Linked DNA regions of Canis lupus familiaris. The protein of the gene in region 2 purifies or fractionates together with the protein of the main gene of each other region. This does not show direct contact. Links are inferred from orthologs where the notes say so. Each region holds a gene or a part of one and is shown on either strand. Other genes may lie near its edges.

Region 1 (5,503 bases), on a different chromosome or scaffold from region 2:
TGTCTATGACAGAGTAGCCTCAGATCATTAAGATCCAGTATAGAGCACTCCAGTTTGTCAGACCCCTGAAGCCACAGAAAGCGGTTTGCAAAACTCCTTCTTGTTACTATGTCTCTTTAGGTAAAAACAAACATTATGGTCCTAAAAATATTTGTTCAGTGAGGTAACATTTTCATGACTTACCAATCTTCAAAAATATAATTAAAACCTAACGAATCAAAAGGAAGTTCAAGGTCTCAGAGCCTGTAGCACAAAACGCAATCCCCAAATCTATGAACTTTGGGTCACAGTATCTGGGAAGACTGGGATTAAATGATTTTAAGTTTTCCTGTATTTCCACTCTCAATTTCCACTCTCATCTCCAGCTAGGTAATTAGATAAAACTTCCTCAATGGAAAAGGAACCAGGAAGCATGGTGTCGGGCAGAAGGTAGTTTGACAACAGACTCTGGTTTGAACCCTGGTTCTTCTACAATTCAGCTCAAGATCTTACACAAAATCCTACTCCCTGAGTGGCACAGTTGGTTAAGTATCCACTCTTGGTTTCAGCTCAGGTTGTGATCTCAGGGTTGTGAGATCAAACCTGGCGTCAAGTCAAGCTCCACATTCTGCTCAAGACTCCCTTTCCCTCTACCCTTCCTACCCAGCTCATGTGCATGCATGAATGCACATGCTCTCGCCCTCTCTCGCTCTCTCAAATAATAAAGCTTAAAAAAAAAAAAGGACTTTGGACAAAGTGCCAAACACCCCTTGAGCCAATTTCATTTGCAAAATGGGAATAGTAACACCTGGCCTTCTCAAGCTGCTAAAGGATCACAGGAAATAGGAGTAGATAAAGTACCTGGCAAGGAGAGGGGCTTCAATACATGACAGCTTGCTTCCTTTCCCTGACTCTTTACCCTTGGCATTTTACTTTTACTGAAGGTTGTTATAATGCCAAAGGAAGATTACATGTGCTTTCCTTATGAAGAAACAGGTTCCAAAGGGACAGCAGGCCCCAACACTCACCTTCTCTGCCATCCCCTCTTCTCCTCCAACAAAAAAATCTGTTTTGCGTCGAAGGAAGCTGAAGAAAGTGTTCACAAGCTGGAAAACAGAGAAGACTGAAGCTGTGGAGATGCCCCCAGGGAGCCCTCAGCTGCCCAGAAACCAGATCCTAGTCCAGGAGGGAGTCAGAAACTTGGTAGTTTCCTCCTAAGCCTCTCATTGGACAAGACAGGCTCCCCAGCAGGCTCTACTTTAGTCACCTCCACTAGGAGGCCTAACCTAACCTGATTTAGGTGGCCTGAAAGGCAGATTTCCATCTCCTGTGTATGTGTGCCTGTGTTTCACATTCCTTGTGGCTCTAGAAACAGCCTAAAGATACAGAACACTCCTCTGCAACCAGGGCTTAAAACACCTAGGCCCAGCTTTCCTTCCAGACAGTGAAAAGTCCATCCAGACTGGCAATGGCTGAGTTACTAGGGCAGAGCCAGAAAGAGGGGAGCCACTTCAAAGGTTAAAACCAACTAACTCTGGCTGGTACAGTAAAGTATCCAAGTGGTTAATTAAGCACATGGGTTTGATTATCAGACTGATAATATATTAGCTGTCACCTTAGGGAAGTTTCTTAACTCTAAAAGAGAAATAGCAGCCAGCCTATTTCTAGGGATCTTGTGAGAATTAAATGAGATAATGGAGGTGAGGGCCTTAGCAATGTCTGGCCCAGAGCAAGAGACCTCCTGCCAGAGTGAACGATTCACACATAGGTACCATGAATTGTGGCTTATTCTGTCTACATCCCCAAAGCCTGGCATCAGATCTGGCTCAGTGTATATGCTCAGTAAATCTTCTGCTGAATGAAATGATCTAGTGGTGTTCTAGAGTTAGCATATACAAGCCCTTTTACTTGCCCAAATGAGTGGTTCTAACTCTGATGCTAGACTTTATCTTCATGGTTTGAGTTTCTACTTCTAGATAATTTTTTGATTCATTCAAAAATGAACTCACTCCGAATCCTATTTGGGATCAACAATTTAGGAGGATGGGAGAGGGAAACTTTACACAAAAGCAAAGTAGTAACTCTTCCCACCTCAAAGGGCTTGAGAGTCCTTGGTCTCCACCGGTGCCCAGCTAAAAGAATGGGAATGGAAAGCTCAAAGAAAACTTGCTCCCAGTGAGACACAGAACCAGCACACTGGCCTAAGGAATCTGGTCCTAATTCAGGAACCTGCTGGGTGATCTGAGGCAAGTTCCTTCAGTTTCTCTTCAGAATTAGAGTTTTGGAACTGATCCTGATAGGCTTTTCTACTTCTAACTTTCCATGGTTTTGGTCCAAAACACCAACTCCAGCATCTATACCAGTACGTCTTTGTGTTATGTGTGGTCAGTACGCATGAACTGTGCTTTTGAAAGGGCCTTTCCAAGCTCCATCAGGGCAAGGATAGACTTCTGCTCACATATACACCCAGGACCCAATCCGGTGAGCATCTGACACACATCACTCAACAAATATTTGTTGAATGAACAAACCTGCTTATTGTGAATTCCTTACTGTCCTTTACTTCAAGACACTACTCTCCTCACTACTCAGAAGAGACTTGTGGCTGCCTCAAAGACAAAAGGAACTGAGGCTTGCTGATATGGAAAGGCCCCTTACTGGTAGGTGGTGGAGATAAATGGTGAACCCAGGCTTCCTATTCCCCATTCTAGGCCTGAAAGGACCACGTGTTAACATCACTCCGCCCCGCCCCACCCCCGCACCCCCCCACAAGCATTCGTCAGCTCGGTCCAGGTCTTGGTAGATGCAAATGCCAAAGTCTGGGATGGTTCATCCTAAGAACTGCTCTTCGGGGGCGGCCATCAGTAGGGATACGAGGCCGGAAGCATGTGTGAGAGCGGGGGGGACGGGATAAGGGGGGCGCTGCGGGTTTTCCAGGGCCGCGTTCGGAGACGCAGGAGTTGCTAAGACAGGAACTCCTGAGTGGCGCCGGGGGGCCCAGCACAGAAACGACTGAGGCCTTAAGGGCGGCGGGGAGGCCAGACCGGAAGCTGGGGGCGCGCAGAGATGGAGGCGGATCCCAGGAACCCGCGAGGCCCAGAGGTGGATCTCGGCCCCCGAGGGTAGGGAAGCGGAGGGAGCGTGCCAGCGCCGCGCGGGCGGGCGAGCGCCGTAGGAGCAGGCCAGGCCGACGCCGCGCGGGCCGTTACCTCCTGCACGCCGCCCTCGTGCTGCTGCGCCATGGCCAGCAACATGCCGTCGAACCGCTCCTCCTCCTGCTCTCCGCCCATCGCGCCGGCCTCTCGCCACACTCCGAGGGCCCAGCTCCGCGCTCGCGTCCCGCGTTCTCCCGGCTCCTTAGAGTCGCGTCCGGCCCAACCGCTCCAGCCGTCCGCCTTCCGCAGCGGAGCCGGAAACACGCACGCGCCGCGCGGCCGGTCCCGCCCTCCCGCCCTCTCTTCCCGCCTCCCTCCTGGCCCGCGACCATTGACCGCGCGGCAAACAGCCCGCGTCTCCCACGATTGGTCCGCCCGCTGAGCCAATCGACGGACCCGTTCAGGAAGCGGTGGGCGGAGCTAAGGGATCCGGAGTTTGGCGTGAGTTGCTATGGTCACCAGATGCTTTGGAGCCTTCCAGAAAACCCTGAGCTACAAATCTGGCGGGTTCGAAGTTAAAAAGGGACAAACTCTGCGCCTCCTCCTTGAGAGTGACTTACCAGCCTGTAGAAGGGCGGGGCTGAACGTGTCCCTCGTCTTCTTCTCCAGCGCTACCATGAGGCAGTGCAGGCCCAGAAGGGAGCCGGGGCTGGCCCAAAGGACAGCCTACCTCCGTCGTCACAGCATACTCGCCAGAACCAGCTTCGTGGGATTACAAACCGTACGGTCGCGCGGGCGTCCGTCTTGGAAGGGCTCCGTGCTTGGCTTTAATGTTCTTCTGATGCAGTCCTGAAAATCTAAATTTTTGAACAAGAAACAGCACGTTTTGTACTGGGCTCTGCAAATTACATAATGGTTGCTGTATTCCACCTTCACTCCCGTTAGTGGGGGACACAACCCAGCCATCTAAAGATGGCCAACCCCTCCACTTTTGCAGTGAATTTCATCATCTTAGTCTTTTCAGGGATTCTAGCCTCGTTATTATCCTTTTTTTTTTTAAATATTTATTTATCCATGAGAGACACACAGAGCTGCAGAGACACAGGCAGAAGGAGAAGCAGGCCCCATGCAGGGAGCACGATGTGGGACCCGATTCCGGGATTCCAGGATCACACCCTAGGCTGAAGGCAGCGCCAAACCGCTGAGCCACCCAGGGACACGCCCCTTATCCTTTTTTTAATTTCCTACATCACAGATTTCTTTCTTCTGGATCATTCCCTTCAATTTGCAAAGCTGTTCTAATGTCCCTTATTTCTTTTTTTATTATTCTGTGACCCCTGCTTTTCTCCTCCTACCACGCCGGTTTTCAGTTCTCACAGCAAAACTTGAAAAGATTACATGTCTCCACTTTGTTACCTAACATCTTTCCTTTTCTGAAAAGACTCTAGCAAAGGGTACAATGACTTTTTTATGCCAAAGCGCATGAACCACAATTATCTTCCTCAACTTCTTTTTTTTTTCTTAAGATTTTATTTATTTACTCATGAGAGACACAGAGAGAGAGAGGTAGAGGGAGAATCAGGCTCCCTGTGGGGAGCCTGACGTGGGACTGGATCCCAGGACCTAGGGATCACCACCTGAGCCAAAGACAGACAGACACTCAACCACTGAGCCACCCGGATGCCCCATTATCTTCCTCAGCTTCTCAGCAGCATTTGACACAGTTTGCCCCTTCTTCTAGACACACTTTTTTTTTCTTTAGGCTTCTGATCTGGATGGAATTGTGTTCCCCGAAATTCATATGTTGAAGCCCCCAATGTGACGTTTTGGACCAAGAGCCATTTAAAGAGGTAATTAAGGTGAAATTAATTCATAAGCATGTGGGGCCCTAATCCCATATGAAAGAGTGTCCTTACAAGAAGAGGGAGAGATCCCTAGGAAATCATAGGTACACAGAGGAAAGGCCATGGGTAGCAGCCTTCCACAAGACAAAGAGAGGACGTGGGAGAAAGCAAACACCTCGATCTTGGACTTCCAGCCTCCTGAGCTGAGAAATTAAGTTTATGCTGTTGAAGTCACAGAGTCTATGGTATTTTATTATACAGCTCTAGCAACCCAATAGAGCTTCTGTGTTACCACAGTGACCTGGTTTTCTTCCCACTGCACTAACACTCTTAGTGTCCTGCACCACCTAGACATTTACTAAAATGCTGGTGGCTCTGTCCTTTGCTCTCTCCTCTTCCTTCTTACACTTTCTCCTTAGGTAATCTCATATCTCTGGCCCAGAGCTCACCTAAGCTTCTGGTTCTTCTGACTACCTCCTGGAAACTCCACTTAATGATCCGATAGGTATCTCACAACTCACATGGCTTTGGGAAGATGAAAAAGTTCTCGAGATGGATGGTGGCAATGGTTGCACAACAATGTGA
Region 2 (4,718 bases):
CCTTCCCACACATATTTCCTGTTGTTGTTTCTTGCTGTTTTAGTTCTTACTATTTATTAGCATCTTATGCCCTCTGCTTTAGTTGTCTTGTTTACCGTCTGTTGCCCCGACTGGAATGTTCTCTCCATGCGGGCAGAGACCGCTGTCTCTTGTCCACGGCTACCTCCCCAGTGCCCACAGCAGTGCCTGGCACCCAGTAGACACTGTGAATATCTGTTGAGTGAATCTCTCTCCCTCTGGTACCCTGCCTTGGTCGCTGACTGTCCCTCCATCTCCCCCTTGCACTTGTCCCATCTGTTCCCTGTCCCCGTGTGGCACCTTCTCAGCCTGTGTGTGGGGGAGCCAGGTTGCCTGTTTCCCACCCAACACTACTGCTGTGATCTTTGCAGTGACAGGCCCCCTGTCAGAGCTCCAGATTAGCTATGTCTGCCGGGAAGTGCTCCAGGTGAGGCGAGACCCGGTGGGCCTGGGGCGGGGTCCTGCTCCAGCCCCTGGGGACTCACAGCACCCCATGTCCACCCTCTCCCCTAGGGACTTGCCTATCTGCACTCACAGAAGAAGATACATCGGGACATCAAGGTGGTCTGGGGCAGCAAAGTGGCTTTGTTGGGGGGGGGGCAGGAGGTGGAAGTAGTGTTTGCAGGATTCAGGGTGGTGTTGAGCTGTGGGGTTGGGAAGGGCCAGGGTGTGGAGGCAGCGTCAGGCTGGGGGTGTCTCTGACAAGCTTCTGATTTCCCCCTCTTTCTCCAGGGAGCCAACATCCTCATCAATGATGCTGGGGAGGTCAGACTGGGTAAGTGTGATGGGGGGTGGGAGGGGACTGGCTGGGGGCCAAGGGGGTGGGGGCCCCAGGTCACTATATCTCTCTCTGCCTCTAGCCGACTTTGGTATCTCGGCCCAGATTGGGGCAACGCTGGCTCGACGCCTCTCTTTCATCGGGACGCCCTACTGGTGAGGGATGCCCGGTGGGCAGCTAGGGGTGCATGGGGGCAGTGGCCGTCCCCACCTGGGTCACCAGGACTCTCCTTCCCAGCTCCTTTCCCTGTGTCTGCCTCTCTGTTGAATATTCTGCTCACTTTTTGGCTCTCTCTCAAGTATTACATTTACCGAGGTCTCTTTGTGTTGGTTTTTATTCTGATTTTCTGTCTCTTGACCTCTGTGTGTCTTTTTTAAAAATTTTATTTATTTATTCATGAGAAATACAGAGGGGGGGGGGCAGAGACACCGGCGGAGGGAGAAGCAGGCTACCTGTGGGGAGCCCAATCCGGGACTTGATCCCCAAACCGGGGATCACACCCTGAGCCAAAGGCAGCTGCTCAACCACGGAGCCACCCAGGCGTCCCCGTGTGTCTGTCCTTATTGCTGTCTCTCTCTTCACCTTGATGTTTCTCTCAGCATCTGGTTCGCTCTCTGTCCCCTCCTCCTCTCTCTCTCTCCCTCCTGCCCCCACCTGCACGCCAAGGAGTCGCCCCCTTCCCCTCCTTGTGTCACCTCTGGCTCGCTGAGGGTCTCTGTCCCCAGGATGGCTCCAGAAGTGGCGGCTGTGGCCTTGAAGGGGGGATACAACGAGCTGTGTGACATCTGGTCCCTGGGCATCACGGCCATTGAACTAGCGGAGCTACAACCACCGCTCTTTGACGTGCACCCTCTCAGGTAGGCGGGCCTGACGAGCCCCCCCGCTGGGCCCAGAGACCTGCCCAGCCCTGACCCAGAGCACCCCCTGCCCCCACCTGCTTCCCTCACTTCGAGGCCCCCTCCAGGAGACACCCCGTCCTCACAGCGAAATCTGAGACCCTCCCTGCAAAGAACCTCTCAACCCAGAAAGCCTTTTCTTCAGGCCCCCCCAGTGGGAACCCCCAAGGCAGGATTCCTGATCTGGAGCCTCCCGTGGAGGTTGCTGCAGCTCTGTTGTGTGCTCCCCAGAAATGGCATCCCAGGGCCTTGTAAAACCTAAACCTCATTCTTGTTCTGTCCCTTGCTTGGCTCTCTGCTGACCTCAGTGCTATTGGGGACCCCTCAAGCCGTGAGGTCTGACCCCTGTTGGGAGTCTGAACACCATGTTCTCTCCTTACTCTTCTAGAGTTCTCTTCCTCATGACGAAGAGTGGCTACCAGCCTCCCAGGCTAAAAGAAAAAGGCAAATGGTAGGACAGGGCAAGGGAGGGCAGAGCCAGGATGGAGGGTCTGTCTGCTGGGAGAGTTTCTGGTCTCCTCACCTAGGATTTGGCTTCTTCCTCCCAAGGTCGGCTGCCTTCCACAACTTTGTCAAAGTCACCCTCACTAAGAACCCCAAGAAACGACCCTGTGCCACCAAGATGCTCAGTGTAAACCTCCCCTCCTTTCCCTGAAAGGCCCTTCCCAAACTCCCCGCCCTCTGCCCAGAATTCCCCAGGAACTCCCCAAGACTCTCCAAATTGTACCCCAGACCTTTGGCCAAGATACCCCGAGCTGTTAAAACTCAAAAATTTCCCAGGGTCTCCAGACCCATTCCTGGGTACGCTCTGAAATCCTGGGGAAGCCCCGTCTCCTCTAAGACACCTCAAAGTTCTCCATTTGCCCTTGCTGGGAACCCCAGATTCTTCTAATCCGTTCCAACCCCTTAAAATCCCCTAGTTTCCATTCCCCAGAGTTCCCTGCCTCTCCCTCAGTGGGCACCTTCCCCACCAGGTCCTTGAGCCCCTGTCCCAGCCTCTCCCCAACACCAGCCCCCTCCTCTCCTCTCTAGCATCAGCTGGTATCCCAGCCCAGGCTACATAGAGGCCTGATCCTAGATCTTCTTGACAAACTGAGGAATCCAGGGAAGGGGGCCTCTGTGGTCGAGATTGAAGATGAGGAGCCTGAGGTGAGGGTGCCCTGGCCGAGAAGGCGGGGGAACCTCCCAGCCCCTGCTCAAGCTGTAACCGCCCCCCCTCCCCCCACAGCCTGGAGTGCTTTCCTGCTGCTTCTCTTAAAAGGAAAAAGGGGAGGGGTGTAGGGGGGCTTGGCACAGGGCTACGGGCTCCCAGCTGGGCTCACAGGGTGGTAGGGGTGCCAGGGGGCCGTGGCCTGATGCCGCTGCTGCTCTGCCCAGGTGCCCCCTGCCGTCCCCCGGCGAATCCGGTCCACCCACCGATCCAGCTCTCTAGGGATCCCAGATGCCGATTGCTGTCGTGAGTAGAGATTCCTTAAGCTTGGAGATCCTTGACCATAAACTAGATCCAAGAGACGCACTCCACCCCCAGTGATTCTCCCAGAGACGCTCAGCACCATCTGATCTCACGATAGAGCCCCGAGACCCGCGTCACTTCCACACAGACCCTCAGAGACCCTTGTCACTCACTATCTGACCCTGCAAGAGACTCCAGAAAACCTCATCCTCACCTGAACTTCAAAATGGCTATAGAGAACCCCCCCCACTTCTCTGACCTGCAAACAGACCCCGTGAGACTTCCCATAACACCAGGACCCCCAAAGAGATCTCAGAAATCTCTGTCACACCCCCAGGATGGAACCATGAAGACAAACACTATGTAACTTTGAGCCCCCACCTCCCTGATCCCAAACCCTGACCCCCAGATGAGACCCCTGCAAACCAAGATCCTTCCCCCTGGGGGACAGCCTCGGTCCTAAGATCCTGACCCCGGGCCCCCCAAAGGCTCCTCTTTTCCCAGACCCATTGCCTCTGCTCACTGCGTCACCCTCCTCCCTTCCAGGGCGGCACATGGAGTTCCGGAAGCTCAGAGCAATGGAGTCCAGACCCATAACCCACACGGTGAGGTGCCTCCCTCTGCTGGCCCCAGATGCCCTCCCCTCCCCTTGGGCACTGCTGACCCTTTGCTATCCTGCAGGCCCACTTACAGCCCCCCGGAGACTTCCGGAGCAGCAGTCCCAGGTCAGGGACCCTCGGTGTGGCGGGGAGGGGTCTGGGTTTTGTGGGGGGAACCACCGATGGTCATGGGTGTCACTCCTCAGGAGGCACCTGTCGGAATCTGACGATGACTACGACGACGTGGACATGTAAGAGAGGCGTGGCCCCCAGCCCCGCTGGCCCTCATCCCCCCCCCCCCACCTTCCTACAACCACCGTCCCCTTCCATCCCGACCCCAACCTCAGCTCCTGTTTTCCCCTTGCCGCTCATCCCGGACCCCTGACTAGACCCTACAGCCTCCCCCTGCCCCCTCAACAGTCTTTCACCCCTCCCTGGCCCAGCCACTATTATCCCCCCAAGCCAACACCCCAGTTCCATCCCATCTGACCTCCGAACCCCCCACTACATCTCAGGCCCCCCACCACTCCCAGATGTTGCTCGGACCCCCAGACTTCCACTGCACCCCTAACCAGCAAAGCCCAGCCTTCATCCGCATCTTTCCCCCTGAGAACTTCCCCCATGCCAGACCCTCCACCGGAGACCCCACCTTGGCCCCAGCAGTCAGCCCCACCCCCAGGCCTGCATCAGCCTCACGCCCACCTGTTGGGTCTACACATCCAGCTGCAGTAGGCTCACAGGCCCTGCCCAGCACCAAGTGAGAACCTGCCCCGCCCCAGGGGAGCCCATGTGACCCGCATCACTAGGTGGCCACGACAGTTCAGGCCCGGCGTATTGTCCACACTTGATATCCAGCGCAGCTGTTGCCAGTATCATGAGTGCTCTAATCCTCAGCTCCAGCCCAGACCCAGTCACCCCCGATCCTCTTGACCTCAGACCTCCAGTCCCAAACCATCCCATCTGCCTCCCCAGCC

The links. The genes of interacting proteins can lie anywhere in the genome.
Region 1: the proteins of MAP4K1 (region 2) and NUDC purify together in Homo sapiens (affinity purification with mass spectrometry; 3 studies listed by BioGRID and IntAct, with this or other methods). This does not show direct contact. The link is inferred for Canis lupus familiaris from reciprocal best matches to the Homo sapiens genes MAP4K1 and NUDC.

Annotation. Positions count from the first base shown.
Region 1 is NC_049223.1:72,615,784-72,621,286, forward strand, and holds the start of NUDC (nuclear migration protein nudC), read right to left. Parts: upstream 3,402-5,503; 5' UTR 3,270-3,401; coding exon 3,189-3,269; intron 1,086-3,188; coding exon 1,008-1,085; intron 1-1,007. UniProt on the Homo sapiens protein: Plays a role in neurogenesis and neuronal migration. Necessary for correct formation of mitotic spindles and chromosome separation during mitosis. Necessary for cytokinesis and cell proliferation.
Region 2 is NC_049222.1:115,278,757-115,283,474, forward strand, and holds part of MAP4K1 (mitogen-activated protein kinase kinase kinase kinase 1), read left to right. Parts: intron 1-389; coding exon 390-445; intron 446-531; coding exon 532-579; intron 580-750; coding exon 751-793; intron 794-878; coding exon 879-951; intron 952-1,521; coding exon 1,522-1,653; intron 1,654-2,080; coding exon 2,081-2,143; intron 2,144-2,241; coding exon 2,242-2,323; intron 2,324-2,724; coding exon 2,725-2,841; intron 2,842-3,069; coding exon 3,070-3,148; intron 3,149-3,691; coding exon 3,692-3,750; intron 3,751-3,826; coding exon 3,827-3,870; intron 3,871-3,950; coding exon 3,951-3,995; intron 3,996-4,718. UniProt on the Homo sapiens protein: Serine/threonine-protein kinase, which plays a role in the response to environmental stress. Appears to act upstream of the JUN N-terminal pathway.